Linked DNA regions of Mus musculus. The protein of the gene in region 3 interacts with the protein of the main gene of each other region in a pairwise test. Links are inferred from orthologs where the notes say so. Each region holds a gene or a part of one and is shown on either strand. Other genes may lie near its edges. The genes, in order: Stap1, Abhd16a, Retreg3, Gabarapl1 and Map1lc3a.

Region 1 (4,282 bases), on a different chromosome or scaffold from region 3:
ATAAATCAGTAAATAGTAAGGGCCAGAAATTTGGAAGTACCGGATGAGGACATTTCTATTCCTACTTTCTGGCTTAATCAGTATAATAAGTCAATAAAGTAATTCTTCCCAATAACAGATTTCACCAGGCTCTTGAAGGAGAAGTAAGAATTCACCAAGTAGATAACAAAAAGAAGGGTGTGGGAGCACACAGGAGGAGCTGTCAGAAGGAGGGCCAAGGGCTTTGAGACGTCGAGGAGCAAGTGTAAGGCCTAGAGCAGAAGGTACTTGCTGGGGAAGGGGCTTGGTTTCTTGCCAGTGCAATAAATAGTGTTCAATAAAAAATGAAAGGAAGAACCGCAGAATCTGTGAGGATCGATCAGACTGACCAAGAATGAAATTTTGAAATCTATAAGGTTTGGGGGAGATGACTGAAGAAGAAATATTTGATTCTTGGTACATTGAGGATTAATGTTATTTACAAATCAACAGTCCAAAAGAGTCTACCTGGTTTGATGAACTAGATTTAATTTAATTAATTTATTTATTTGTGCATTTACTTATTTATTTATTGCTTACTTTTTAAAATGGTAAAAAGACAAAATTAAGCAGATGTTTAATTAACATAAATATTTCTCTCTGGGCTCAGGACACTAAGGGACATACTACCAAATTCGTTGCTTGAGCCCCCACATATTAGAAGAGAACCGATTGCTACAAATTGTCCTCTAAGTTCCACATGTGCACTGTAACATGTGCACACTTGAACCTACCTGAATATTAGCACACACAAACACACACACACACATGCACAGCCCTACACACACACACACACAAAGTAAATGTCAAAACATCAAAAATATTCTTTTCTGTATTTTTCTGTAAGTCATCTTTCTCTTCTAAAGCTCTCTGGCAACAGCTAGGTATGATGACATAAATCTTTAAGCCCAACACTTTGGAGGCAGAAGCAAGTAGACCTCTGTGAGTCTGAGACCAGCCTGGTCTACACAGTAGAATTTCAGGCTATCCACGGCTACAAAAATGAGACCATATTTTCAATAAAAAAAAAAAAAAAACACTATTGGATATATAGCCAATAGGATCAATACAAAAATATTCAATGAAGAATTTTTTTAATGGATACAGTTTATTTAAGTCACATATCTTCGAAATAAAGGCAGAGAACAATCAACAAAAATGAAAGCTGGAAAAGCTAAGTGTGTCGTTGGTGTTGCTCCAAAAGTCTCGCACCTGCTCCTTTCATCATTAGGAGATGGTAATCTGCTGTTTATTTTGTTACCATCAACCTAAGCACATGAAGTTTACACAGCAGACGCCTTTTAAAAGTTGGTCTGTGCCTGATCTTTTTTACTTCACAATAACTGAAGGAGGGAAAGTGTGTGTGTGTGTGTGTGTGTGTGTGTGTGTGTGTGTGTGTGTGTGCTGTTGGTGGAAGGGTTGGTGGTTAAAAAGCGAGTTGAGACTTCCTCTTTGAACAGTTGCCTCTCCTCTCAACACTACGGAGATTTCGGTTTTTTTGAGGCTGGATAGAACTGAAAGCAAGCCAAACTCCAAAGCAAAGGCTATGATGGCGAAAAAGCCCCCGAAACCTGCCCCTCGCAGGATCTTCCAGGAAAGACTGAAGATCACTGCTCTGCCCCTGTACTTTGAAGGATTTTTACTGGTCAAACGGTCTGATCACCAGGTAAGTGTGTAGACAATAATTGTAACCCTGAACATTGGCACTTATCATAAAACTTATGTCATGGCAACACGATGCGATGAAGCCTCCTCGTTTCTGTTTGGGTTATACTGTCTTCCTTGAGTTAGAAGAATGATTCTCACTTTGAATTAATGCACAGCTTTACACACACACACACACACACACACACACACACATATGTATTGTAAGGTTTCTAATATTTAGCCATAATCTAAAAATGCAGTGAAATTTCCAAAAGAGTCTTTTAAGCATCCCAGAAGATTTTGGCTTTAAAGATGAGAGTTTTATATGTTTTATAAGCATAGCTGACTGCTATGCTTCGGTGGTGAGGAACCGCATGATGTTGAGGGGATTTAATGAGAGATAACAACCTACTTCTACTCTGGTTACAATGAGCCTTATAATGACCACGTTGTAAGAAATGATAAACTTCCATAAGATTGTGAAAATTTGATATTGACTTAATATTGTTTCATTACACAATCTGAAAATACTGTTCACAATGCTTATTTTAAAAGAATATTTAAGGTGTTATTGTAACTAGTGAACACATTAGGGTTTTTTTTTTTCAAAAGTACATTTGCTCTAAGAAAACTCATGAAGTATTTCACATACTTTTTATGTAAAATCTTAAACTACAGTTATAAAAGTGTATTTGCCTTTAAAGTTGTAATTGTGGACAACATAAAATTGATTAAGGAAGTACGAAATTATGAAATTATGTTACTAAAGAAGTAAAGAAGCCACTAGTGTAGGTATGGCATTTTCATATTGACTGAAGTTAGCAAGGTTTTAAATGTTTTCAGAAGTAGCAGTGGGTGTTCAATGAAAATGATAAGGCAAGGTTCAGAGGAGTCGATAACAGTCATGGAAAAGTTCTAAATGTGAAAATACTCTACTTGTAAGCTCATTTGCCATTTGAAAGTCAGATTGTGACTCTTGCCGTGGCTGTTAAATTTGCAAATTTAAAATAGTAAATTGGCAAACTATATTCAAATGTTGTTGTTGTTGCTGCTGCTGTTATTGAGTCTTCACAGGTCTACAAGGTTTTTACTTCACCAGAAGTGTGCAACACCTAGAAGTAAATTTCTAGGTGGTAATTTAGATTTGGTCTTTCTCTGATTCTCTTCCCAAAGTGTTTATAGTAACTGGGTCTATTACCAAGATCCTTCAGCTGTTTAAAGAAGCCATGTGGTGGCACGCTTAGCAGGAGAAAAAAAAATCCCATGTGGTGGCACGCTTAGCAGGAAAAAAAAAAAATCCACAATTTTAGAATACCAGTAAACCATGTCTTCACTTGATAGTTCTTCTACATACAACTCATGACCTTAGGAAAATTCTTCCACCCCCTGAACTCAGTTTATTCAACTGTTAAAAAAAAAAAGTAGCCAAAGGATACTACTTGCTGTGATGTAATATATTATTATTTATGTTGTACTCTTCATTATGTCTGGGATAAGCAAATGCAGTGCTGAATCAAGTTGTGTTTCAAGCAACATTGATCTTACACGTTGCACTCAACAAACGTTAAAAGAGGCTTAGCTCGGTGGGAGTTATGACTTTGCTCTTTTTATCTAACTCCTCTTCTGGTTTTGCTTAGAAAGCATGTTTTAAAATAGGATGAATTATGAGGATTAGGGATATATAGCTAAAGGTAACACATTCTCGAAGAGGCATTAGGTCCTGAGTTCAGCCCGACCGAGGTAATGTAAATAATGGTGAAACGCGTGTATATGAGAAAGCCAGTTTCTTTTCCCATTTGAATTTATTTCCAAGTTTCTTTCTCTCATGTGTCAATCAAAGAGGAACCAGAGGGTGACAATGACAACATAAAGGGTGGCTGGAAAGATGAAAACCGTAACTACAGGCTTCATTCGCACTTCAGAGTCATTTTCTTCTGGTTTACATAGATGTTTGCTAGTGTCCTAAAGTCAGGTTGAGGTCTACAAGTAAAATTGCTCAAAGGAACACCACAGGGCTCAAAGATTTAAATAGAGAAGCAATGAGAAAAACGCTAAGGGAAATAAGTGGAGTTTCTATACAATTGGCAGCCAATTCCAGGGTGCATTGAGAGCAAGGTGAGCTGCGAGAGCTATCACCAAGGATCTGTTGTGCGATGGGATACAGGAGGATAGGAGGCTAGGCAGGATGCTGAGCTCCTGCTGAAAAGAATTCAGAAGACTGAGCTGGAGAAAATGTGGCTCAAGGACAATATGCTCAGAGATTACAGGTCAAGAGGCTCTTGTTACAAGGCTTTTTGTTTTGGGGGTTTGTTTGTTTGTTTGTTTGTTTGTTTTTCAAGATCATTGTTTTAAAAGATTTATTTATTTATCTTATGTATATGAGTACACTGTCTCAGTGTACTGTCATATGGCTGTCTTCAGACACAACAGAAGAAGGCATCAGATCCCATTACAGATGGTTGTGAGTCACCAAATGAACTCAGGACCTCTGGAAGAGCCATCTCTGCAGCCCTTTCCAGGTCATTTAAAAAGAAGTTACAATGTTCCAATGCCAGGGAAATACACAATATATGATGATTTTAATGCACTTCTAGAAGGACTCTGAATTTCAGGCCAA
Region 2 (4,186 bases), on a different chromosome or scaffold from region 3:
CACTTACACACTTATTCACTGATTGAGACAGAGTCCCACTATGTGGCCCAGGTTGGCCTGGAACGTGAGACTTTCTACCTCCCTCTTACCCAAGCGCTGGGATAGAGGACACATTGCTCGAATGTCTTCCACTAACAGTGCACCTCTGATCTGTACTCCGGTGCAGGGCCCACAGTGTGGTTACACTGTGTGAGGTCTCTGTGCATGTTAAAGTCTGCTGCTGTCTCCAGCTGAGACTCAGGCGGTGTGTGCTGTATTCTTCTTGTTCCTGTACACTGCTGATGAACACATGCAATGTAGGATGTAAGACACTTGAGGAAGAGCTACACCTTGGACTGTCCTCAGTTACTCCCTACAGGGCCCAGCCCCAAACTACGTCTGCAAAAAGTGCTTAACGCTTATCCAGTCACAGATACAAACCAGGCTCCTCTCTACCTACCTCGGAGGCAGGCCACCCCTGCAAGTAGCAGCAGCAATGTCCCGGCATAGTGAGAAAATGGCACCACTTTGGACAAACTCAAGTAACCTGGGAGGGAAGAGGGACAGTTATGAGACGCTCTCACAGGACCTCTGAGTGGTTCTCCCAGCTTGCCCACAACCTCTACCCACACTCTGTCTTTGGGTTAGCCATTCTATCAGACCAGCAATTCTCAACCTGTGCATTGGGAACCCTTTGGCAAACCTGTATCTCCAAAAAATATTTATATCATGAACCATAACAGTAGCAAAATCACAGTTATCCAGTAGCAACGACATGATGTTATGGTTTTGCGGGGGGGGGGGGGGTGTCACCACGACATGTGGAACTGTGTTAAAGGGTCGCAGCACTGGGAAGGTTGAGAACCACCAGCTTATAGGGCAAGACTCCTGGTAGAAGAGGGAAGTCAAATATGCCGTTCTCACAGGATCACCCCCTTTCTCTTCGGGGAGTAGATTCACTGGCCAATGACCTGCCCGGTTTGTCCCCACCCACACACGCCCCACCACCACCTTTGGAACCACACTGACCTTTCCTGTATAAGTAGAAGAAGGCGAAGGGAGAGGAGTAATAAGAGATGGACCAGAAGACTGAAGCCTGCAGCAGAGACACAGACAGGCGATCAATACGCCTGTGCACACACACGCTGTTCTGCCCTCTCCGGGCCTGGCTCTGACACCGTGCACACAGTAGGGACCCAAATATTTGTTGCCTCATAGTGTGTCAGAGTACAGTAACGGAGACTGACACAGATTCATGGCGTTGAAAACACCAGCCTCTCTGTCTACTCAAGTTAATCAAGCCTTCCCAGTTGGCCCCACTCAAGAGAGTCCCAGGTTTTGTCCCCAAGAGATGTGAGAACATCACCATAGGAACTCTGCCAGGGAGAACAGCTGTCTCTGCAGCCACAGAAGTTAGTTGCCAGGGAGGATAGGTCACTAGGGACTGCAAGACTCAGAGACCTGCAGCCGATCCCAAAGGTAAATTTGTTATCCTTAGGGCTCAAACTGCTCTGGAAAAAGCTTATGGTACACAAAGGGGACTTCCTAAGGGAGAATGCCAACGGTAGGCACTTGGGATACGCTGGTCCTCTGTGCAAGCTCTGCTGTACAGGGCCCAGAGCACCCCTCACCTCCTGGGGTGTTGCCTTCTCCAGGGCTGGGTTTGACTGGCAGATGCTGGGACTGACTTACCAGTGCCAGGATGCTGTCTGCATGTTTCTCCAGGGCCCGAGGCTGATAATACGTATCCTGCCAAAACAGATGGCCTGTTAAGGACCTTGCCAGCTGACAGGCCCTTCCTCCCTTCCAGAAGCCCTAACCTGTGTCACCTGGTTCTAGCCTCTGTGGCCATTTCTCCTGGGATACTCCTGTTTCTGCTGAAGCTTCAACTCCCCCCCCCTGACATTTCACCCCTCACCCTGAAAGCAATCACGGGGTGCTAGGCTTGGAAGCAAAAGTGAAAGCAGCATTTGGAAAACCGGTCCTTTTTTTCCCCTGAAACTCCATACAGATATGATTGTGTCACTATGGGGAGAGGAGTAAAATTGAAAATGAGAGACTCCATGACAATTCTAAGAGGGAAGGAATAGCATTTGATGTAAGTCGATTCCGGGAAAAATGTCGCTAAGTGTGGGCACTTCGGAAAGCCTCCTAAACATAATTTGCAACCAATAAAAACAAAAACATTTTGGAGAGCAAACTACCACCCTGAATGCAAGACCCTGGTTTTCAGGCTAGGTTTGGGGGCACAAGGCGCACAAGTAAATACATGACATGAAGTCATTTTTGAAACTGAAAAGTCAGGTTAAAGAGAAAGTCAACAGATCCTGGGAGAAATTGGGAGTAGGTGGGCAAAAGCCAGTGCGCGCAGGGGACTCCAAACTCAACTGGGACCAGCCATTCGGGGGACGCGGAGGGGGAAAAAAAAAAGCAAGCGTGGTGGTGGGTGTGAGGAAGAGTTCCTCCAAAGCCGTAAAGAGAGGCGGCGGCTGGGCCCTGCGTGACTGGGAGGGGGCCGGGAAGCGCCCGCAGGCGGACTGCGTGCGCGACCGCCACTTGACAAGCGGGCTCCCCCGTTTCCCACAGTGGGCGCGCCGGGCGAGCGCAGCGCAGCGCGGTCTGGACCATACCATGCTCTCCGCCGGGGGGAACCCGACTCACCCAGGAGCTGGACGAGGCGGCGGGGACGGCAGTGGGAGTCTCGGGGACGCTGGACGCGGCCCGGTCCGTGTCCCTCTCCCGGTAGATCTTGTAGAGCCGGGGGCCGAGGACGCAGCTCAGGAGCTTCGCCATAGCCCCGGCTCGGGCCGCTGTCCCTCGGCCTCAGGTCCCCGCCGGCCCCGCCCGTAGTCTCCTGGGCGCTGCGTGCGTGCCTGTGTGCGTGCGTGACGTCAGCACGTATCCGCTCGCCCCGTGGCAGGGTCCAGCCTGACGTTCTCGCCACGAGAGGAGTGTTCAGCGCAGTGGGCGACGGTCTACAGTTAGTTAGAGCTGTTCTGAATAGAGAAACTTAAGAAAATGAATGCCCCAGGTGGTTACTTTTTTTTTTTTAAAGATTTCTTTATTTATTATGTGAGTACACTGTTACTGTCTAGAGACACACCAGAAGAGGGCATCAGATCTCATTACAGATGGTTGTGAACCACCATGTGGTTGCTGGGATTTGAACTCATGATCTTCGGAAGCGCAGTCAATGCTCTTAACCGCTGAGCATTTCTCCAGCCCCCACATTTTTTTTTTGGTTTTTCGAGACAGGGTTTCTCTGTGTAGCCCTGGCTGTCCTGGAACTCACTCTGTAGACCAGGCTGGCCTCGAACTCAGAAATCTACCTGCCTCTGCCTCCCCAGTGCTGGGATTAAAGGCGTGCACTACCACGCCTGGCTTCACTTTTTTTTTTTTTTTAAACCCTATCCCTTAATGTCAGCATGTTCTGGAACGATCACTGGGTGAGAGTAGGAGCATTTGACAAGAACTTCAAGAAAAGAGGCTAGTGTCTGGATTTGTAGCTCAAGTATAGAAAACTTTGCTTAACATGCTGAAAGCCCTGGGTTACACACACACACACACACACACACACACACACAGATCTAGGGATGTATCCATTAGAAGAAATAGCAGGATTCTTCTGAAGAATTCTATTTAAATTTTTTTTTATTTTATGTATATGAATACACTGTAGCTGTTTTCAGACACACCAGAAGAGGGCGTCTGATCTCATTACAGATGGTTGTGAGCCACCATGTGGTTGCTGCTGGGACTTGAACTTAGGATCTCTGGAAGAGCAGTCAGTGCTCTTAACCACTGAGCCATCTCTCTAACCCAAGAATCTTTTTTTTTTTTTTTTAAGTTTTTGAAAGAAGTAATCTGCCCGATGTAGTGCCACATGCTTTTAATCCCAGCACTTGAGAGACAGAGAGAGATGGGTGTGTTGACAGATTGGCCTCTTGAGTTCCAGGCCACCCTAGTCTACGTATGTAGTGAGTTCCAGGCCACTCAGGGCTATATAGAGAAACCTTGTTCAAAGTGCTAGGATTGGTGGTAAAGGGCTCTGGCTGCTTTTCGAGATGTCCTACATACAATTCTCAGCAACCACATGGTGGCTTACGATCTGATCCCCTCTTCTGGCATGCAGATATACAAGCAGATGGAGTACTTATATATGTAGAAATAAATCTTAAAGTGCTAGGAGTAAAGGCATGCATCACTA
Region 3 (3,991 bases):
CCCTTCAGGGGAACAGCAAATGACCTGGGAGAATCCGCTGGCCCAGTTGTTGCCAGCTCCTCCGCCATGCTCCGACAGGTAGATGTTCTCTGGGTTGTAGAGCTTAGCATAGGAGGAGTTTAGGATGGAATGGATCACCCGGGGCTCCAGGTCCAGCAGCACAGCCCGGGGGATGTAGTGCTCATCATCTGCCTGTCAGAGGGAAGCCAGGATGGGTCAAGTCCTGAAGCCTCCCAACTCTGGCTCCTGCAGGCTCTCCCTCAAGATAGCCACTCTGTTCCCATCCATCCACTCAGAGTTTCCCAGCACCAGATCGCGCTGCCAGTCCCGCCAGGGTCCTGGTCAAGTCACTTGGGGGAGCACCTGGTAGAAAAAGACGTCCTTTCGGTCAGTGCCCTCCGTGGCGAACTCTTCTACGATGCCCTCGGGACTGATGCCATGCTCGGCACATAGCTGTTTCCAGAACTCGAACCCAACTAAGAGAGGGAGGCGGAAGGTGAAGAAAAAAGATACGTGAGTCTGGGTAGGTTCCAAATAGCCAGTGGGGGATTTGAACGCCTGGGTCTAGGGATCTAGATTAGCCTTGGGACTCCCTAGTGTCTAGGCCAATGACTGGACAGGGGAAGGTCCATTGGCTTTAGGCAGTTGGGCACAGGGTTGGGAATCGCCTTTGTGGGGGAGAACTAGGATTCTGCAGACAGACCGAAGCTATGACCTTATTGCGAGGGCCTCTTGCACCTAAGGAACCTGGGAGGCAGAGGGTCTGGGAGGTTCGCTCACTCTGATTGCCGCACTGGCCCAACTGTAGGGTGATGATTTCTCTCGGCATCGCTCCTCAGACATCGGCGTTGCAGTCTCTCCCGCCAGCAACACCGCCGACCGCTAGCGCGCTCGCCGGCAAGACGCAGGCGCCAGACAATGCGCTCCACCCCTAATCGTTCTCCGCTCCAATGGGAGCTGGGTTCTGCAGATGAAATTTCCTCCTTCATCGGGCTTCAGTCGTGCGAGTTGCGCGTGCGCGGCTCCGAATCGCGCTCAGCGCCGGGAACGCATTTCGACGCAGTGTTCTCTTCCGTCTGATGAATGCGCACCGGAGCGTCTGCGCATGCGCGCGTGGGCGTTCCGGCACTTGCCCCGCCCCGCCCCTTCTCCGCCCGGCCGCAGCCAAATCGTGCTTCTGCGCAGTCGGTGTTATTGTGACTCCCGGGCCGTGGCCCCGGATGTTGTGGCTGCTGAAGGGGAGATGGAGGAGGCTGAAGGGGTGGCCGCGGCCCCGGGTCCAGCTTCGGGGTTGGCTTTCAGGGGCCGCCGAGCTATGTCCGGCTCCTGGGAGCGCGACCAGCAGGTTGAGGCGGCGCAGCGGACCCTGGTGGAGGTGCTGGGCCCTTACGAGCCTCTGCTGAGCCGGGTGCAGGCAGCCCTGGTGTGGGAGCGGCCGGCCAGGAGCGCCCTGTGGTGCCTGGGGCTGAACGCGGCGTTCTGGTGAGACACCCGGACCCTCACTGACCCTACTAGGCGGGAATTCCTCAGGTTGTTCTGGGGGGGGGGGTGTCGATCTCTCACCTGCCCTGTCCTGCCTTCTTTCGTCGCCCTGGCTGCTTCTGATACTTGCCTGATAATGCTTCACTTTCCCCAGCATCCCGCCTGCCTCCAGGCTTTGGCACCCCGGGTGCTCGCAGGGCCTTCCTGGTCTTCTCCACTTGCCCCCACGACTCGCCAGAGAATCTGGTACCATCCCGTGTCGCTCGCAGTAAGCCGGGGTGCCTCTTGTTAGCGAGAGAAAGTGATTTCACTTCGAGACCATTTCCTCCGTTTCTCTTGCTTGCCCCAGGGTGGTGGTTCCGAGAGGTTTTAACTTAACGATGATGGGAGGAGAGGCAGAAGGGTATCCCTGGGTGTGAGGAGGAAAACAAGCTTGAGCCGGTTATCATGGATTATTAGCATGTTAGATACCGTCTCACCCAGTCAAGTTGGTGAAGTTTGTGTGGAGTTTCAGCTTGAAAGAAAAGTAGATGTATTAAGAAGGAAAAAATTAAAAAACAGTGGTGATCTTTCATCTGTTTCAGAGCCACTTAGGATTGCAACGCTTCCCCCCAAAAATTAGACCTTAGCTGTGGTTCAAGGAGTTTGAGGCTGTCTGAGAGCCGTTGAGTTCTCTTTCACTGGACAAGTGGCTTTATATTAAAGTGTGTGTTTCATTCTCTGGAAAAAATGAGAGCACCTAGGAGGAGTTTGGGCTTCATCGAGTCTACCAACCATGGTTTGGGTTTATTAATAACCATAGTACTGATCAAATTCCAAGGGAACTGACATATCACTGAGGCTTCTACAACCAGAAGAGATGAGACTCTTTGAATAAGCCTGTGTGTGTGTATGTGTATAGGGGTGTGGTCCTGAGATGGGGTGGTCGTGAGGAGTTGTGGGTACTTGTAGAGGCTAGAAGCATCAGATCCCCCTGGAGCTGGAGATAGGTGGGGGTTGCTGGGAACTGAACTTCTCTGGGAGAGCAGTATGTGCTCTTAGCCACCGAACCATCTCTCTAGCTCTGGAACACATTTCAAAGCTGCAACAGATTTGCTGGTCCTCAACAGTGTATTCTTTTTTGGCTCCAAATATCCTCTCCACAGAGCAGGCCTTGAACTTCTGACCTTCCTGCTCCCAGCTCCCGAGGATTGGGGCTATTGACACTGGCCACCATGCTGTACCATAGTGTTTACTTAGGCTAAGTCTGCGTTTAGAATCTTTCTCAGAACCCCTCTTGTGCTAAGTTGTGACTGATCCCTATCTCTGGCATTTCCGGGTAGTATGCCTGCTGTGTAGCCACAATGCAGGAGGTGGGGGAGAGATCCACCAAAGTGAGTGTGGCCTAAGACTTAAAAAACAATTGAGCTTGTCATTTATAGAGGGGACTCATACCTTGGGAGGGGTACAGATAGTATTAAAGTCCAAGCGGGTTAAAGTAGTCAGACATTGGCACTTATAGAATTGTTTTGGGAGAATGAATTTCTTTGAGGGCTAAACACAGTTCACTCCTCAGTAGTGTCTTTGTGAGTGTTGTCATTTCACTTAGTAGAGTAAAGAATGACTAGATTTTCAACGAATTGAAGAAGTATCACTAAGTTAGGTCAGAAACAACAAATCTGAAGTACTTCTTATATTATTTATTAGGAATAATGACGTTATCAAAAGCTGAGGTGCTTTTGATGAGTCAGAAGATTAGCTTGATACTACAAAGTTGTCACCTGAGTGCTGGAGTCCACCTTAGCGTAGTAGAGCCTACCTCCAAACCTGATGCCCTGATCCAGCTTCTGTAAGCTGTCACCTGACTTACACACACACACACACTCCCCCCCCCTCTGTCTCTCTCTCTCTCTCTCTCTCTCTCTCTCTCTGAAAGAATTTTTTTTTTCCCAAGTCCTCCAAATTCAGGGCACATAGTGTGTTTAGTGATGTACATTCCTTCTCTGGTGTAGTTTTCCCTGTACCTGTGACTATGCCCTCTTACTTTCTAAACACAGGAGGTTCATAAAAGAATTCCATGTGGTAGGGTGCCACCATGTATTTCCAGGGTGTCCCCTCCCAGGTACCAGAGAAATCAGGGTGACCCTGTCCAAAATCTTGTAACCCACATCGCTTCTAGCCCCTGCTCTGTTGCTGTCTTTAGAATAATAATGGCTTCCCTCTAAAAGCCGACTTTTTCATTAATCTCACCCCATCTGCAGATGAGTGACCCACAGGGAGACCATGAAAGTCGGCAGGAGGGCATCATGGCAGGACCAGAAAAGGACAGGTTCCAGGAACTTCGATTGGACTGATAGGAGATGGGGGAGCACGAGGGTAAAGCCCCGCTGGCCCTAACTTGATGAACAGCACAGAGCTCACAGGGGGCTATAGACTGGAGCTCCTTGTCCCTGTGATTCCAGGTGGCCTTTGGGGACATGAGCGTAACTCGCAGCTGATGCCCTGTTACCTCTTGGGAACTGTTTCACAG
Region 4 (3,961 bases), on a different chromosome or scaffold from region 3:
ATGTAAGAAAGATTACCAGGAGAAAACCAAGAAGTGGGCTATGTATTTCATGTTCTTGTTTTGCCAGTTAAATTCAGTTCACTTTATTTTGCCCATATTTTATAACCATATCACTAAGTCATGTACATAAAATCAGGCAACAGGGCTGCTTGCCTGGTACCACTTAGTAGTCATTTTATTTTCACAGCACAAAGCATCCTTGAACTTTATCTCCGATGTTCCCAAGATATAGGTCTGGAGTTACTGCCAGTAGAATCAGAAGGGTGACCCCGCATCCAAAGAGTCTTAAGATGGAAACCCGGTATGTCAGAGGGGCCTGGGCTGACTCTCTCTATACTATTGAGGGTCTTCCACCAGCATGCCAGTCAGAGCTTTTGGTGCCCAATAAGGCCTTTTCATCAGGACAACTACCCTACAGGTGATACCCACCCCAGAGCAAAGTATTGTTGGGGAAACATAGACACCTAAATGATTTGACCTCTGTATTTTCAAGAACTCAACAACCATGCTTCTGGGTGAACCTTATAAAATGAATGGATTCATCTCTCCTTGAACGTGAGTGAAGCCTGGTGTTCATCGCTGGCATCGCTTCTTCTAACCTTGATGACTTCATGTTCTTCACCCTTACACTTCTTCAAATCCATGAGTCATGCTCTGTTTATGTTGTCTCAGAACCAATTCTAGCACAGATCCAAACATAAGGACACCAGTCAGAAGGAGGAGTTGGGGCAGAGAAGGCAGGCCAGTCGTGGGTGCCAGGCAAAGGTCAAAATGCAAGCACAGGACATTTCAGCCCGGGCTACAAATCTCGTGACGCCTGGCACTTTTCCAACTCCAGACTCCTGATTCCATTGCTCTGGAAACAGCTGGATTTTCTTCCTCTGTGTTTGTTTTGGGCATCAAACAAGAAACTTGAAGGGGAGGGAAGACGACATTTGTTAGAGCATTCTTTGAATTAACAAATTACCTTTAATATCAATCCTCAAAAATAAAAACCCGACTACATGATTTTTGCGTTTCGATGGAGTGGTTTAGGAAAAGCTTGGGTGAAAAGAAGATACACAAATAAACAAAGCTTCTGTCCACCCGGATCCAGCAGGTCCTTAGCGCCGGGGGCGGAGCGGGGGTGGGGCGTCGTGATGTCACAGCACCGCCCTGGTGTTTTTGTGTTTCCAGCTCTTGGGAAAAGCCACCCTATTTCTTTACCTGGTGGTCCTTTACCTTCAGGCCGCGAGATCTCCAGGTCCTTCTCTGGACGTTTAGCCACGTAGTGCGGCGACTGGCGCGTGGGAGCTGACGCGGGTGGAGCGATTGTGATAAGGCTGACATTGACTGGGGGTGGCCAGACGCGAGACGCAGTCATCAGCGCGCGCAGCAGGCCCCGTCCGGGGAGCCCCTACATCCTGAGGTCCATCATGAAGTTCCAGTATAAGGAGGACCACCCCTTCGAGTATCGGAAAAAGGAAGGTGAAAAGATTAGGAAGAAATACCCGGACCGGGTGCCGGTGAGTGGGGGCGGGGAGGGAGAAGGCAAGCTTGAGGAGTTTGGGAGCTGGTTGCCCTGGAGCTACCGAGGTAGCCTGGCGATGGCGGGTGGCCCTGGCACAGGAGGGTCATCGGAATCAAGTATTCTTGACCGGCTTTGACAAGCTTGTATCCCCAGGGCCTGTAGCCACTTTTGGCATCTCGAAAGCGCAGCGTGCGCGTGGTGGGTGAGTCAGCAGGATTCAGCACCCATGGAGGTTGGGATGTGCGCGTGGCGAGGCCTGTGTGTGCGGGGGCGACTGGTTGGGGGCCGCAGATAGGATATGCTATAGAAAAACGCGTCCCAACCCTGTAGCAGCAGGTGAGATGAGCCTTGTGCCCATCCATGTCTGCTCAATTGGTTCTCCATGAAAACGAGTCTCCTTCCCATTTCCTTGAGCGTAGGAGGAAAAACTCGAGAAGCCCCTAGATTCTGACCTGCGTTTTTTTTTTTTTTTTTTTTTTAGAATTGGGGGTGGGGTGGGGTGAGGGGCTTCACCAGGCGGGCCCTCAAACAAGGTCATGCCTGCCTCCACCTCATTATTGTCTCCTGGGCCATGTGTGGAAAAAGAAGGTCCGTGCTCTGCACTGTGATAGGTGGGTGGGCTCTTGGATCTCAAGAACCAGTACTGAGAACCGTTTCCTCCATTAATTATACCCCGATTTAAGCAGCTAATACCTAGTTCATGCAGTGGGGAGAAAAATACTAAGGGAGTCTTCAGCATCCGGGTGTTTTCCACTTTACCCCCTCCCCCGCCCACTTGCCTTTTTTTTTTTCCTCCTCTTTTGAAGGCTGCGCAGCAGAATTGGAAGCAAAGGATGACATCGCTTTTAAATATGGTGGATAGAGGACCAGGGACTTTAAAAAATCGTTCTCTTTATTTGTACAGGCAATGATGTTATATTAGGTTGGCGTTCCTCTAACTTTGAAGGGTAAAAGAGCTGTGCTAACCTGATAATTTTTTTTTTTGATGCATAAGTAATAGGGGGGAGGGACTTCTTCCTTATTCTTTATCTCAGCCAGGGCTACCAGAAGAAACGGAGGTCCAGCAAGAGAAAGCCCTCAGCCCCATTTTCTACCCTCAGCCCCATTTTCTACCCTCAGCCCCATTTTCTATGAGGAAGAAGAGAGCTAACTATTCCACCATTCTCCAGAAATTACATATACATGGCTCTTCCAGAACGGCTGGGCACACTCCAGTCATGCCTTCCTACTACACAGTCCTTCACATGTTATTTCCTTGAGCTCAGGACTGTGGAGGATTGCTTTCAAAATTTCTCTCAGTTTGTCAGCCCCACTTAATATTTTAAAATTACACATGGACCACACAGCTGGCAGCACTCTGAATGCCTTGTCTGTGTACTCACCGACTCTCGTCACAGCATTAAAATCCCTGTGCTAGAGACATGCTCTGAAGCACAGGGCAGTGAAGTCACCACCCACAGGTTTGACATTGCTGACTGGTGGAGGAGAATTCCAGCCCTGGCTGTCATGCTTCAGGGCTTCCAGAGCCCTTGGGCTTCCAGAGTTTTGTTTTTGTTTTTGTTTTCCAGTTTGTAGTACAGTTAGATGAACGCCTTGTAAGGTTGAGCCCTAGAAGTAGGTTAACACCTGCTGCCATCTGGAGTTCAGGTGGTAGTTGGTGCCAGCCAGGAAACTTAAGTGAACACCTACCCCCATTATTCAGAACTTTAACAGAAATCCGAGCTGTGACCTGCAACTGTTTCCAAATTCAGCTAAAACCTCCGTCCTTCCTCAAGACAGAGCCCCCTCGCATTCAGTTGTGTACAGCACTCACCCACAATATTGCAGTTTCTCTGTATTCTCCTGTTTGTGACTTGATGCTGAATGTTTTACTTCAGTGATGATTTGTAAGCCAAGACACCTTCGCTTAGATCTCATGGATCCCTGGATTTCACACCCAGATGGTACCTCCCAATCTGAGAGGTTCTCAACCTCTCATCTGGTTGTGACATAGAACCCTGCTGAGATTTGTGTGGGGGTGGGAGTGGGGGCAACACTAAAATTGGAACCCTTTGCCTGGTGTCTTCTCCATGACTGGATTATAACAGGAGTTCTCCTGCCTTGGTCACAGGGCCGAATCTTCCTATGTTCAGGTATTTACAGGAAAGCCGCTAAGTTTCTAAGGCAGTCTGACTCACAACTTAAGCTTGGCCTCTTAAGAGGTGTGCGTGGGCCTTGGGAGAAGGGATCATGGGATCTTGAGATAACCGTGTGTTGGAGACCTGTAACAGCAGGAACTGTAGGACATACTATTTTTAAACATTTGTAAACATCCCTATGGTGTATGAGCCACTGCGACAGATGCAGAAAACAAGTCCCCTCTCCTTTTGGTTGGAGTTCCAGGACTCAAGAGTTCCTGTGGTGAATACCAGGGCTCCCTGTTTCCTGTGCTCTGTTTGTAACCTGCCTCTT
Region 5 (3,701 bases), on a different chromosome or scaffold from region 3:
AAATAGGACTTAAGGTCATAATTTAGGGAAGTAATCCTACCGCCCCACCCTAATTTGGGGCTGCCACATACCAGGCATTGAGCTGCCTGGAGAAGGTAGAGATGGGATATAAGGCCTGGTTGAATCCCTTTGTAGGTGGAGCCTCTAGGATCTAACATATTCCGAAAATTGAACCCACATCCTCATGCTTGCGGGCAAGCACCCTACCTGACCAAGCAGACAATAATATCTTTCCAAACAAATCCAGCTCCCTAAGACATTTAAAAAGCAAAACAAAACCCAAAACACAAGGTCTCACTATCTAGACCAGGCTGGCCTTGAACTCAAGAGACCATCCCGTCTCTGCCCACAGAGCTGGGGTTAAGGAGGCACCGCCACCCAGCCTCTTTAAGGCAATCTCAGCTGAATTCTTGTTACCTTAGCAGCTTGTTTTTGTACCAATCACTACCATTTCTGTCCATAAGCAGTTGTTTAGAATTACTCAAGCGTGCATCTGTTAACTTGGTTCCCATCAAATTTCTTCCCTTTGAGCTGTATGTTTCTGAAGTACAAACTAACTTTTTTTTTCAAACAATGGTCCTTTGTAAATTCTTTTGTTTTATCTTTTTTCTTCCTTACTTCAACTCTAGCCCATCCTCCTGCCTCAAACTCCCATAGAGCTAGGACTACAAATGAGAGCCAGCTACATCTGGCATTGATTCTGGCTTTCAATCGATTTTTAAAGTTCTTCAAGGGGCCGCCTCTCCGTGTCCGTCCAGTCCCTCTATCCCCTCCACCTCCCGCAAAACCTGAGATACTGAACTTAAGCCTTCCATCTGCTAGGCAAGTATCCTACCCTGACCCTCGGTAACATTCCCAGACCATACTTCTTTCTATCCTACCAAGGGGCTCTACCTGTAAAATCTGACTTCGCGTGTTGTCAGTTCCGAATGTTCTCCATCTCATGGTTAACCACTTCTGATATAGCCCCCCCATTCAGCGATTCTCTCCTGCTTTATCTAAACCACCTATTAACCAACCTCACTCTGGAAATCTATGCTTTCTATGGTTGTTCCAGAATTCTTTGAAAGCCTGGGTGGGGGGTCTGGAGCAATGGTTCGACAATTAAGAGCCCTTGCTATTATTTCAGAGGACCTAAGCTTGATTCCCAGCAGTGCGATTAACTCCAGCCTAAGGAAATCCGATGCTATGTTCTGCATCCGCGGGCATACACTTACAGACACATTAAAAATTTTAAAACTCTGGGTGTTCCATCCTCTCCCCGCTCCACCTTCCTTCTCGAATGCTAAACTCGATGAAGGTGCGGTGAACTACTCCGCAGCGTCGAGAGACTGGATGGAGGCGACAAATGCCTGGCTTCTGAGTCTGTGGCGCCAAAGAGAGGAGCTTGCCATCGTGACGTCACAGAACTGTGACGCGCCCTGGAGCTCCGCCTCCTTACGACCTGCGCCGGGAATCCGGGCTGTCTGCGCCGTGGCGTCACAGGTCCAGGCAGGCGGGTTTTCCGTCGGCCCAATGGGAGCGGCGCGCCGGCCTCCCCTTTAAGGAATGTTGTGACCTGACGTCACCCAGGCGAGTTACCTCCCGCAGCCGCCACCGCCAGGCTCAGCGCGAGCCCCGCAGCCCTTGAGCTCGAGCCCCGGAGCCCCCGGCGCGCCGAACCGCAGACGCATCTCTGAGCCGCGCACCCCGGAGCCCCGGCTGCGCGCCCCGCCGGGCCCGCGCGATGCCCTCCGACCGGCCTTTCAAGCAGCGGCGCAGCTTCGGTGAGGCCCTGGGGGGCGAACTGCCATCGGGGATCGAGGGATGGGGGTGCCAGTCGACCCCGATTGCCGCAGGTGACGTCAGCCCCATGACGTCAGGCACCGGCCGGCCGGACCCCGGGTGGAGAGGCCGCAAGGCCTGGCAGGGTCGCCCGCCTCCCTACCGCGTCCCCCCGGTGGAGGGCTGCGGGGCCGACGGCCCCGGGGGCGGGCGCTGGGGCGGGGCGGGCCGGGAGCCGCCCCTCGGGGATCAGCGAGGCGGAGTCGCGGGAGGCCTCAGCACCGCTGGGCCTCACACAGAGCTCTGTCCGCAGCCGACCGCTGTAAGGAGGTGCAGCAGATCCGCGACCAGCACCCCAGTAAGATCCCGGTGAGTCTCTAGCACCCCCCAGCCACGCCCTGCCCTGCCAGGTCCCGCCCTTGGCTTACGAGTCCCCCGCCCACTCCACTCCAGGTGATCATCGAGCGCTACAAGGGTGAGAAGCAGCTGCCTGTCCTGGATAAGACCAAGTTTCTGGTCCCAGACCATGTTAACATGAGCGAGTTGGTCAAGATCATCCGGTGCGTGGGCAGCCTCCTACAGGCCTTGGGTGGGGCAGGGTCAGGTTCCACAAGAAGGGATGGAGTGGGGCGAGGGGACTGATTTGGGACACCGGGCCCCTGTTCTAGGAGGCTGGAAAAGACCAAGGTCGGGGTTGGGACGAGCTTCAGTAGAGGTGAGAGCCTCTGGCTGAGATGGACCGAAAGTGAAGGTTCAGTAACATTTTGGGAGGGTCACCTAGGCCTCCAGCAGGCAGCCTCCTCACCTGGCATGCCTGCCTGCCTCCACAGGCGCCGCCTGCAACTCAACCCCACGCAGGCCTTCTTCCTGCTGGTCAACCAGCACAGCATGGTGAGCGTCTCCACACCCATCGCTGACATCTATGAACAGGAGAAGGATGAAGACGGATTCCTCTACATGGTCTACGCCTCCCAAGAAACCTTCGGCTTCTGAGTCAAGAGGAGGGGAGGGGGGTGGCTGGGAGTTCTGGTCAGGTTCTCCCCAGGGAGGTCCTGGCTCCTAAACTAAGCTATTTCAGTCCCCAGTGGATTAGGCAGAGATGTGACACCCACTCCCCCCCCCAGGTAGGGGCCACCAGCCAGCCTACCACATCCTGGGTAGGTCCTGGGCCAGTCATGTTCGGGTTGCTCTTTTGGGTGCTGGCTGGGTTGGGAGTGGGTGGGGAGCAGCATCCCTGCTCTGTGGGGTTTGTCATTTTGTTAGGCCCTTGCCTGTCTGCCCATCTTGCCCCTCATCCACCTGAGGCTTTGCCTCCTGCCAGGACCTGCCCCACCCCTGAAAGGCTGGCTCCCCTTGTCCTGACTCGGTGTATGGATCTGTGGTCATTTCCTCTGCAGAAAGAATAAAGACTGCTCAGGCCTGCCTGGCCCTTTGCCTCCAGCTGCTTGTTTGGGAGCAGGGAGGGCTGCTAGGTGACTGTGTTCACACACAGAGACAGACGCGTGTTCCCAGAAACCCACTCCTTAGTACAGGATAGCACGTAGTATTAGGGGGCCAAGCTCACTCCACTCCAGGAATACATGTCATCAGAACAACAATGAAAAAAAAAAGATCCACACATTTATTAAGTAGTCACAACCTATAAAGCCCTGCTCACCGGCTGCTTCCTTTCTGTGCACAGTCACAAAGTGGGGGTCCAAGTGGGGTGCTCCTAGCTTCTCCCCATGGGCCTTGTTGCCAGCTATGAGTCCCCTTTGGTGCCAGAGATTTGTGACCCTGGACTTGAACTTCTTCTGCCTGAGGACGCGCCTGCTGGCAACTCTGGATGAGGGACCTGGCCCAGCTTCTGGCCCTTCCCCCTCTTGTCCATGCAGCGCTGTGCCAGCCAGGGCTACTTGAGCACAAGCATGGCCTCAGTGCCGTCCTTGGCAGTCAAG

What was found.
Region 1: the proteins of Retreg3 (region 3) and Stap1 interact in binary tests that used the Homo sapiens proteins (3 or more experiments, as listed by UniProt). The two-hybrid records come from large-scale screens. The link is inferred for Mus musculus from reciprocal best matches to the Homo sapiens genes RETREG3 and STAP1.
Region 2: the proteins of Retreg3 (region 3) and Abhd16a interact in binary tests that used the Homo sapiens proteins (3 or more experiments, as listed by UniProt). The link is inferred for Mus musculus from reciprocal best matches to the Homo sapiens genes RETREG3 and ABHD16A.
Region 4: the proteins of Retreg3 (region 3) and Gabarapl1 interact in binary tests that used the Homo sapiens proteins (3 or more experiments, as listed by UniProt). The link is inferred for Mus musculus from reciprocal best matches to the Homo sapiens genes RETREG3 and GABARAPL1.
Region 5: the proteins of Retreg3 (region 3) and Map1lc3a interact in binary tests that used the Homo sapiens proteins (3 or more experiments, as listed by UniProt). The link is inferred for Mus musculus from reciprocal best matches to the Homo sapiens genes RETREG3 and MAP1LC3A.

The regions. Positions count from the first base shown.
Region 1 is NC_000071.6:86,070,274-86,074,555, forward strand, and holds the start of Stap1 (signal-transducing adaptor protein 1), read left to right. Parts: upstream 1-1,472; 5' UTR 1,473-1,564; coding exon 1,565-1,684; intron 1,685-4,282. UniProt on the Homo sapiens protein: In BCR signaling, appears to function as a docking protein acting downstream of TEC and participates in a positive feedback loop by increasing the activity of TEC.
Region 2 is NC_000083.6:35,087,911-35,092,096, reverse strand, and holds the start of Abhd16a (phosphatidylserine lipase ABHD16A), read right to left. Parts: upstream 2,807-4,186; 5' UTR 2,773-2,806; coding exon 2,641-2,772; intron 1,729-2,640; coding exon 1,672-1,728; intron 1,076-1,671; coding exon 1,009-1,075; intron 527-1,008; coding exon 440-526; intron 279-439; exon of another isoform or gene 115-278; coding exon of another isoform or gene 90-114; intron 1-89. UniProt on the Homo sapiens protein: Phosphatidylserine (PS) lipase that mediates the hydrolysis of phosphatidylserine to generate lysophosphatidylserine (LPS). LPS constitutes a class of signaling lipids that regulates immunological and neurological processes.
Region 3 is NC_000077.6:101,117,032-101,121,022, reverse strand, and holds the start of Retreg3 (reticulophagy regulator 3), read left to right. Parts: upstream 1-1,181; 5' UTR 1,182-1,243; coding exon 1,244-1,482; intron 1,483-3,722; exon of another isoform or gene 3,723-3,837; intron 3,838-3,991. Other genes in the region: Tubg1 (tubulin gamma-1 chain), read right to left, coding at 25-192, 364-476, 781-829. UniProt on the Homo sapiens protein: Endoplasmic reticulum (ER)-anchored autophagy regulator which exists in an inactive state under basal conditions but is activated following cellular stress.
Region 4 is NC_000072.6:129,532,032-129,535,992, forward strand, and holds the start of Gabarapl1 (gamma-aminobutyric acid receptor-associated protein-like 1), read left to right. Parts: upstream 1-1,160; 5' UTR 1,161-1,415; coding exon 1,416-1,505; intron 1,506-3,961. UniProt on the Homo sapiens protein: Ubiquitin-like modifier that increases cell-surface expression of kappa-type opioid receptor through facilitating anterograde intracellular trafficking of the receptor. Involved in formation of autophagosomal vacuoles.
Region 5 is NC_000068.7:155,274,881-155,278,581, forward strand, and holds Map1lc3a (microtubule-associated proteins 1A/1B light chain 3A), read left to right. Parts: upstream 1-1,483; 5' UTR 1,484-1,726; coding exon 1,727-1,766; intron 1,767-2,077; coding exon 2,078-2,133; intron 2,134-2,217; coding exon 2,218-2,324; intron 2,325-2,594; coding exon 2,595-2,757; 3' UTR 2,758-3,193; downstream 3,194-3,701. Other genes in the region: Pigu (phosphatidylinositol glycan anchor biosynthesis class U protein precursor), read right to left, coding at 3,656-3,701. UniProt on the Homo sapiens protein: Ubiquitin-like modifier involved in formation of autophagosomal vacuoles (autophagosomes). While LC3s are involved in elongation of the phagophore membrane, the GABARAP/GATE-16 subfamily is essential for a later stage in autophagosome maturation.